Oryctolagus cuniculus: one gene and its partner. The protein of the gene in region 1 binds, or shares a complex with, the protein of each later gene. Links are inferred from orthologs where the notes say so. Each region holds a gene or a part of one and is shown on either strand. Other genes may lie near its edges.

What was found.
Region 2: the proteins of CEP152 (region 1) and CEP63 are in contact, whole or in part, in a crystal structure (PDB 6CSU), measured with the Homo sapiens proteins. The link is inferred for Oryctolagus cuniculus from reciprocal best matches to the Homo sapiens genes CEP152 and CEP63. Residues at the interface, in NP_001181927.1 of Homo sapiens: Gly1261, Ala1262, Glu1265, Leu1266, Gln1269, Tyr1270, Lys1272, Ala1273, Lys1276, Ile1277, Asp1280, Met1281, Tyr1284, Glu1287, Ser1288, Arg1291, Ala1292, Met1295, Ala1298, Arg1302; in NP_001340037.1 of Homo sapiens: Phe666, Glu669, Glu670, Arg673, Ile677, Arg680, Leu681, His684, Glu687, Leu688, Glu691, Ser692, Thr695, Phe699.

The regions. Positions count from the first base shown.
Region 1 is NC_091443.1:71,633,919-71,638,441, reverse strand, and holds the start of CEP152 (centrosomal protein of 152 kDa), read left to right. Parts: upstream 1-1,641; 5' UTR 1,642-1,781; intron 1,782-1,925; exon of another isoform or gene 1,926-2,194; intron 2,195-4,523. UniProt on the Homo sapiens protein: Necessary for centrosome duplication; the function also seems to involve CEP63, CDK5RAP2 and WDR62 through a stepwise assembled complex at the centrosome that recruits CDK2 required for centriole duplication.
Region 2 is NC_091435.1:146,914,831-146,918,649, reverse strand, and holds part of CEP63 (centrosomal protein of 63 kDa), read left to right. Parts: intron 1-368; exon of another isoform or gene 369-492; intron 493-1,638; coding exon 1,639-1,844; intron 1,845-2,900; coding exon 2,901-3,180; intron 3,181-3,819. UniProt on the Homo sapiens protein: Required for normal spindle assembly.

The DNA of each region.
Region 1 (4,523 bases):
ACGAAGTCTGGGAACCATTTAGCCGTGATTCCATTCACTCGACTCCCGTCATTAAGTTCTCATTATACACCACACCGTATGCTAGATGATGCCAGTCAGTGCAGGCAACATGGGGGTGTGATGGGAAGGAGCTAAGGAAAACTAGCCCTGTTCTGGAGAGCCTTGAAGGAGCACTTTACTCCATACTAGTATCCATGGGAAAGCACTAATTAAAAGGATATGATGAACCTGTTGCTGGCAGCCTTTTTTATTTTATTATTATTTTTAAGATTTTATGTATTTATATGACAGGTAGAGTTATAGACAGAGAGACAGAGAGACAGGGAGAAAGGTCTTCCTTCTGTTGGTTCACCCCCAAATGGCTGCAACAGCCGAAGCCGCACCGATCCGAAGCCAGGAGCCAGGAGCCAGGAGCCAGGTGCTTCTTCCTGGTCTCCCACTCGGGTGCAGGGCCCAAGCACCTGGGCCATCCTCCACTGCCTTCCCGGGCCACAGCAGAGAGCTGGGCTGGAAGAGGAGCAACTGGGACTAGAACCCTGCGCCCACATGGGATGCCGGTGCCACAGGCTGAGGATTAACCTAGTGTGCCATTGCGCAGGCCCTATTTTATTAGTTTAAAAAATATTTATTTATTTATTTGAAAGGCAGAGTTACCGAGAGGCAGAGAGAGGTCCTCCATCCACTGGTTACACCCCAGATGGCCACAAGGGCGGGAGCTGGGTCCATCAGAAGCCAGAAGCCTTTTCCGGGTCTCCTATGTGAGTGCAGGGGCCCAAGGACTTGGGCCATCTACTGCTTTCCCAGGCCATAGCAGGGAGCTGGATCGGAAGTGGAGCAGAGGGACAGGAACCAGCACCCATATGGGATGCCGGCACTGCAGGCGGTGGCTTTACCTCACTATCCCACAGCTGCTAACCTTCGATGTTCACCAGAACCTTTTAACCAGAGCAGGTAGATATAGTAACCGGTTTTTCAGAAGACAGGGTGGTGCTGCATTCAAGGACAGGATAACGCAAACCTCAGTGACAAAAGCATTCATAATCAAGGAAATTAGTGAATGCATATGTGATAGAATGGGCCCTTTTTTTTTAGCAACTAGAATCACACTTAAACAAGGCAGGGCCTAGGCAGCAATACGACAAAGCAAAAACAACATGTCTGGCTGTTGGGAGCTGGAGAAACCAGCACCTTAGAAAAGAAGGGCAAATGCAAAAATCTCTACGCAAGAGTTCTGTGAGGAAACAGAGCTTGAGTGCTGTAGCCGACAACTAGAATTTAGGAGTGGAAGCGGGCAGGGCACGAGGTTCGGCGCCTATTTCCCGCACCAGTGGCACAGCGGACCTGGCTTTGCTGATCTAAACTAAGTTATCTGGCTTGGCGCTCCTGTGTCTCTAGGATACCTATAAGCCCGCCCACTCCAGAGTCAACCCTCTCGTAATTGGCTCACAAATCCTCCAATGGACGCACGGGGGGAGCTTCCCGCCACCTCTGGCGCCCGCTTTCAAACAGCCATACACTTGCAACTGCAGGCAGACCTCTCAACCAAGCTTGAGGAAGGCGGAGCATCTCGCCCCGCCCATAGCCGATATGGCCCCGCCCACCAAGCGAGAGTCCAGACGGTGATTTAAGGAGGCTGCTGCTAATCAAAGGCCTCGTGGCTCCGGGTTAGGTTGCGACTAGGCGGGAGCTAGTGGATTAGAGCTAGGATAAGGGGGGTTGCTAGAAGTTGGTCTTCGGCTGGGGCCTGAATTTTCCCCAAGTGACAGCGTCCGTGACCCCCGGTAAGTTCTGCTTCGCGCCTAGGGATAGGCCTGGGGTTGGAACAGTTACGGGGTCCTCGGGATCCTGGCTGAGGCTTCCCTAAGGACAGATCCACCCCCTCCCACATTGCGCAGTGGTGGACTGCCCTCAGGTTGCAGAGCTGAGCTTTTGACCCCAGGTTCCTAATTGAAAGTGACGGCTGGGGAGCCCTGCTCTTCTCTCCTTCGGGCGCCCCCAGGCCCCACGCCGGAGACCCCAGCAGTGGTCACCCAGCGCCGCGCTTGGCTCACAGTGGGCGCTCTGTGCACGTATGCTGACCGAGTGCAGGTGTCGTTGGCACCAAAGCAGGCAGCCCTAGGCAGCTGGGCGCCGTGCAGCTTGGGTCTCTGGGTAGCTGTTGGATGTGTCTTGACTGAGGTCCAACAGTTCTTCGGTAAGGTCGTTCGTTTATGCAAGGGCATTTACTTTTGTACTTATACACTCGTTCATTCTGTGGGTGCCTACCGTGTAGTAAGATTGCCTCTGGGCCTCTTAGCTATCTGTCCAAGCTGCTGTCATTAGAATCGTCATGTTATTTCTTTTTATAGGGCTGTTTTCTTTCTTTTTATCCTGTTCTGTTAAGCTTTGTCGTCTTAAACAGTGGTTACGATTGAATAGGCATCCTCAGCTGAGCCTTTCAGGTCTAAAACAGGATAGTGAGTTGTTTCCATCTTAGCAAGTAAGTAGAATTTCCCAACTCCCAGGACAGTTCCTAATCACTTAACCCTTTTAATTTTGTAGTTCTGAATTTGAATGCCTTAAGCGGATTTTCATCTCATATCCATGTTTCGTGACATTTTATGCATAATTTCTAGATAAGTGCATGCTTTCAAAAGAGACTGAAGTTGAAAAGCATTGGAAATGCAGTCTGAAGTGCAAAGAAGGATTTGATTTCATGGGGGAGCAGGATTGAGGAGCATCTTGCAAGAGGTGCATCTTCATTCCAGAGGGGGTTGGTTGTGTTATTTGAAGTACGGTTTCCCACAGGCTGCACACTCTCCATTTCTCAGTTAAATGGGATGCTGTTTGTTCCCTAAACTTCTTCTGTGGCTGGCAGTCTCCAGTTCAACAGTCATAAAGTCTTAATAGTAATAACCTAAGATGTGTTGGTTGGTACATGGTGCTAAGCATTTTATGTGCATCATTTTGTCAATTCTCACAACCAGTCTTTGAGATATTAATTCACGAAGAAATGGAAACAGTTGCTTAAGATTACATAGCTGATAAATGAAATGGCCAGAAATGAGCCCTGGTTGACTAAATCAGCGACTAACTCTTCAGCCAGTTACCCATGCTGTGCCCCTTAGTATCTACAGATATTTCTAATCTAAAGCATCTTTTTTCTGTAACTTCTCTAAACCTCCCTTCTTAGGCAAAGTTAATTTGTACTTTGTTTTCCTCTACTACAGAATGTAATACAATGTATTATTGTAACTACTAGTTTATAAGACTGTGATCTCCCCCAGGCTGGTACCCTGTTTTAGATGCATTTAGGATATAATCTGGCACTCAGTAGGTGGTCAATAAAACTGTATTGTCGTAGAGAATTTCATAAGGTGTGATGTGTGTATATTCAATGAATATGTGTGATGTGCCTACCATGTGCAAGGAGGCAGACATTTTAAGCCTTTAGTGTTTTTATTGTGCATTTCATGAGGCAAAAACAGTGCTAGTTTTGTTTTGTAATCTTTTGTCCAACAAAACAGCTATTAGTTTTCTTCTCTGTGCAAGAAAGGTAAAGAAAACATAACCAGAGACAACAAAATAAGTGCTGAGTCAGAGTGCTGTCCCATCTGAGTGTGACAAAAAGGCAGACGTGTGTTTTATAGTCTGTTAAGGATTCGGAAAATGTTATCTAGGAAGAAAGTAACTAGACTGCTGTTTTTAAAAGCATATTGTTATTCTGCATCTTGATTTTTTAAATCTGTAAATACAGGAAATAAATACAGGAAAATTTCATTTTTACTAATGGCATTTACTAGGGCACATATATTATTGATTTCAAGATAGTTTTAATTTTGCTAACAATTCATGAGTCACACAAAATATCTACTTGTTTAAAATGACATTTTTCTTGTTTAAATGACACTTGGAATAGTTCATGAGTGTAAGCCTTTTTTTAAATTAATTGAGCATTTATATTTAAAATGCATTTTTAGCTCAGTTGCCCATTTTTAAATTGAGTTGTTCATCTTTTTTTTTTTTTTTTTTAAAGATTTGTTTGTTTATTTGAAAGGCAGAGTTACAGAGAGGCAGAGGCAGCTGGTTCACTCCCCAAATGGCCACTATGGCCGGAAGATGGGCCAATCCAAAGCCAGGAACCAGATGCTTCTTCTGGATCTCCTTTGTGGGTCCAGGGGCCCAAGTACTTGGGTCATCTACTGCTTTCCCAGGTCATTAGCAGAGAGCTGGATCAGAAGTGGAGCAGCCGGGACACGAACCAGTGCCCATATGGGATGCCAGCACTGTAGGTGGTGGCTTTTCCTGCTACACCACAGCACCTGCCCCGAGTTGCTCACCTTATTTCTTGGCAAGTGTTATATATATTTACTCGGTCATGTGTTTTGCAAATATTTTTCTCATTTTTTTAACTTTATGTGATTTTTCCATATGTAATATTTGTCTTTTTAAGATTTAATTATTTGAGAGGCAGAGAGAAGGTCATCCTTCCTCTGGTTCGTTCCCCAAATGGCCACTGTGGCCAGAGCTGGGCTGAACTGAAG
Region 2 (3,819 bases), on another chromosome or scaffold:
ATGCACAGGGTGAATGTGTTATACATGTTAATAAGATTTATTATTAGAAAGTGCTCTTTTGCCTTTTACCACCTTGGGAGGGAGAATTACTTTTACAAATGAATGTTGGGTTGAAGTATCTATTTGAATTAGTTCTCTAATGCTCTTCATAATGAAAGCCACAGCTCCTGTAAATTATTGGCCGTTTTTTAACCATGGGTGGCAGTTTGCCCTTCTCTGAGACCCCGCCTTGGTGCCGGCTTGTTTGAAAAGTCTCTGGTTCATTAACTTTGCTAGTAAACAGGGTGTTAACAGGTGTATTTTAGAGTTTATATTCTTGTTGGGCAAGCTGTTTTCCAGGCCCCTCTTGACCATCTTACTCTTCTTAGATTTTTTGCAGAAAGGAGCAAGCTAAACAGCACATTAAACTCCAAAGATCACCATAATTTTGCAGAATGCTAGCTAAAACATTTTGTCATTAGAAAAAAATGGCCCAGTCTACCATTTTTTCAGGTACTGTTTTACCAGGAACTACCTAGAATTGAAGAACAATATAATTTATGGTCACAGAATTAAGAGCAGACCAGGGCAGTAAGTCCTGCCATATACAGAGGACCTTCAAAAAGTTCATGGAAAATAGGCATTACAAGAAAACTGCATGGATTTCAAAATTTTTTGCACTGAAATAAACTTATCTTTAGAAAATCTACTGATTTGAAAAGCAGAGATACACACACACACACACACACACACACACACCCAGGGAATGAGAGAGCTCCCATCAACCAGTCCACATACCCCAGCTCCCCCCACCCCCAACATTCCTGCAGTGGCAGAGAGGGGCTGAAGCTGGGAGCCTGGGAGCTCATTCCAAGTTTCCAGTGTGGGCAGCAGGAACCCAGCCACCACGTCCTGGAGGCTCTGCCAGCAGGAAGCTGGAATCAGAAGCCAGGGAGCCAGGCATCAAACCCAGGCCTCCTGATATGAGACATGGGCATCCCAACCACCAGGCCAAACGTCACCCTACAAACTTACTTCTTTATACCATTTTCCATGAAATTTTTAAAGTGCCCTTGTACTTGAGTTCTGCTTTATCCAAATGTACATGTAAGAACAGATGCCAAAGTTATGTAAAAGCATTTAACAACAAGGAGTATTTATTTAATCCTCTCAGCCAGAATTCCTTGTCAGAAACTTTATTCAGATCTCTCTCTCTCTCTCTTTGTCTCTCTGCTTTTCAAATTTAAAAATATAAAAAGTGGTTTATTAAGACAATCTTTTTATTTGAAGTAGGTGTCTGGGTTTTCTTGCTGGGTATCCTGGGCTGGTCAGAAGGACCAGGCTGCTGGCTCCTGTCTTCTGTTTCTGCTCTCACCCACAGCCTCCCTGCTCCCAGCCTCCTCCTCCTCCTGCACCTTGGGTGTGCTTTGGCACATAAGGAAGCTCACTGTGCTTCCAGCCTCCTAGTCCAGTTACACCAAGAAATGGAACCATTTTTCTCTTGGTTTCAAGAGGACTAAAAAAAAAAAAATCTTCAGTTTTGCTAAAGTAAAGCCATAGATTAGTTGGAACTATAAAAAAAAGTTTTTCCACCAGCAATATCACAGATCACATGTATTCTTGTACAAATTAAGTGACTCTAGTATTCTTTTTTATCAGGCAAAAGAGATCTCACTAGCAGATCTTCAGGAGAATTATATTGATGCATTAAATAAATTAGTGTCCGAAAATCAGCAACTACAGAAAGATTTGTTGGATACCAAATCTCAGCTGGAGATTTCTACTCAGATGTGCAAAAAAAAAATTGACAGAACTTTCAAACCAACACAGAGCAGAACAACTGAGTTCAAGGAAACGGAGTTCAAGTAAAATTTGTTGAGAGTTATTTATGTATTTATTGATTGATTAAATTTGCTTTTTGTTTGAAAGAGAAACAGAGATAGAGACATCTCCCATTCACAGGTTCACTCCACCCAGTGGGGACTGGGTGAGGCTGAAGCTAGGAGCCAGGAATTCAGTCCAGGTCTCCCATGTTAACAGGGTTACCCAAGAACTTAAACCGTCTCCTGCTACCTCTTGGAGTAGGCACTGGCGACAAGCTGGAATCAGGAGCATAGCTGGGACCTGAACCCAGGCACTCCAGCATGGGTCGTGCTTGTCAAACCCGTGTCTTAACCTCTGGGCTAAATGCCCACCCTTAAGGATGATTTCGAATGTGTCCTGTTGCACTATAATTCTCATCTTTTTTATTTGAGAATATTTATTTGAGAATAATTTTTATTATTAATAATTTTTATTAATAAATTATTTGAGAATAATGTCTGACTTGGAGACATGAAAGGACTTGAATTCTGCAGGACCGTGTGCACAAGGAAAGCCACAATCAGGTTAAAAAGAGCCAGGGGGAGGTGGCAGAGCACTTCATGAAAGCCTTAGTTTTGTGCACTCTGGCTGTGGGTGTACACAGCGGCTGTGTTCCCGAGTCTCCTCGTGCTGCCTTCCAGCTCCTCAAGCCCACTTGCCCCCAGAAGGAGTAGAATTAAAGCTTCCTCTGGACTTGTGGTCACTTTGTTATAGGCTGTTGCCCTAAAAAGTAAGCATGCAATGAAAAGCTGCCCGATTATAGCTTATACTGTGTAACTCACATGTTTGTCTACCAGAAGGCTTTGCTGCCACCCTCAGCCCCGCCTTACCTCTTCTGCAACCCTCACCTCCACTGCCTGGTGAGGTTGGGTCCCTGCCTGTGTGCACAGCACTTCCCTTGTCGCAGCACAAGCCGCACTGGATTTCTCTGGAAGCGTGGACTGTGTGAGGGCAGGGGCCCGCAGGGGCTCGCAGTGGGGGTTAGATGTCCAGAACCTCTGGCGGAGTGGGTGCTCATGTTGTATTTTATTTGTCTTGTTTTCTAATCCGCTCTCCAGGCCAACCCACAGCCAGCGCAGGCCTGGTGAGGCAAAGGCTGAGCACTACAAAGCAGGTCTGCATCCCCCCCGAGGACAGCCGGCGGACAGTCCTGAGCCCCTGGCCAGGGTCCTCAGCCCCCTGACTTCTCCGATCAGCCCTTGCAGCTCCACCGTCTCTTTGCCTTCTTACTTTCTGTGTCAGACTCACTCTTTGCCTTCCACGCTAGATATGAATGAAGCCAACTTTTCTGACAGTGTATCTGAGAGTATGAATGACCAAGAAGAGTTTCTGTCTTCGGTATGGAAACTTTCCAGTCTGACTAGTTTTTTAGTTTACTTAGATCCATTTCCTTTCTCTGTTGGTTTATTTATTGAAGCCAGTGTGGTTTTCTGGTTTGGTTTTTCTTTGTTTCCCTCTCTGGCTCTCTCCCTTAAGTGCATCTTGCCATTCTCAGGTGTCTCCATGCTGTCTTGATGGCTTTGCTTGTGAAGACGCATTCGGCCAAGACTTCAAAAATACATACCAGTCTAAGATACAGACGGAAATTATAGGGATTCATTTGTCTTTAGTCCCAATTGGAAGTGCCCTTCCTTCTTCAGAGAAGGTCAATTTTGTGCTAGAAGGCTTGGTTCTAGGAAGGTAGTCCAGGGCACACGGCTGGCTGGGGGTGGGGGTGGAGGAGGGGTGCGTCCCACGAGTGCAGGGCCTGGCGGGGCCCACTGCATGACCTGGTGCTGGAGGTGCCGACGGGCTGCAGAGGACGGGCTGCAGAGGACGGGCTGCAGAGGGCGGGCTGCAGAGGACGGGCTGCAGAGGGCGGGCTGCAGAGGACGGGCTGCAGAGGGCGGGCTGCAGAGGACGGGCTGCAGAGGACGGGCTGCAGAGGACGGGCTGCAGACTCTGCCGCGCCTGCCTTCTCCCTGAAGCACTTGCCTC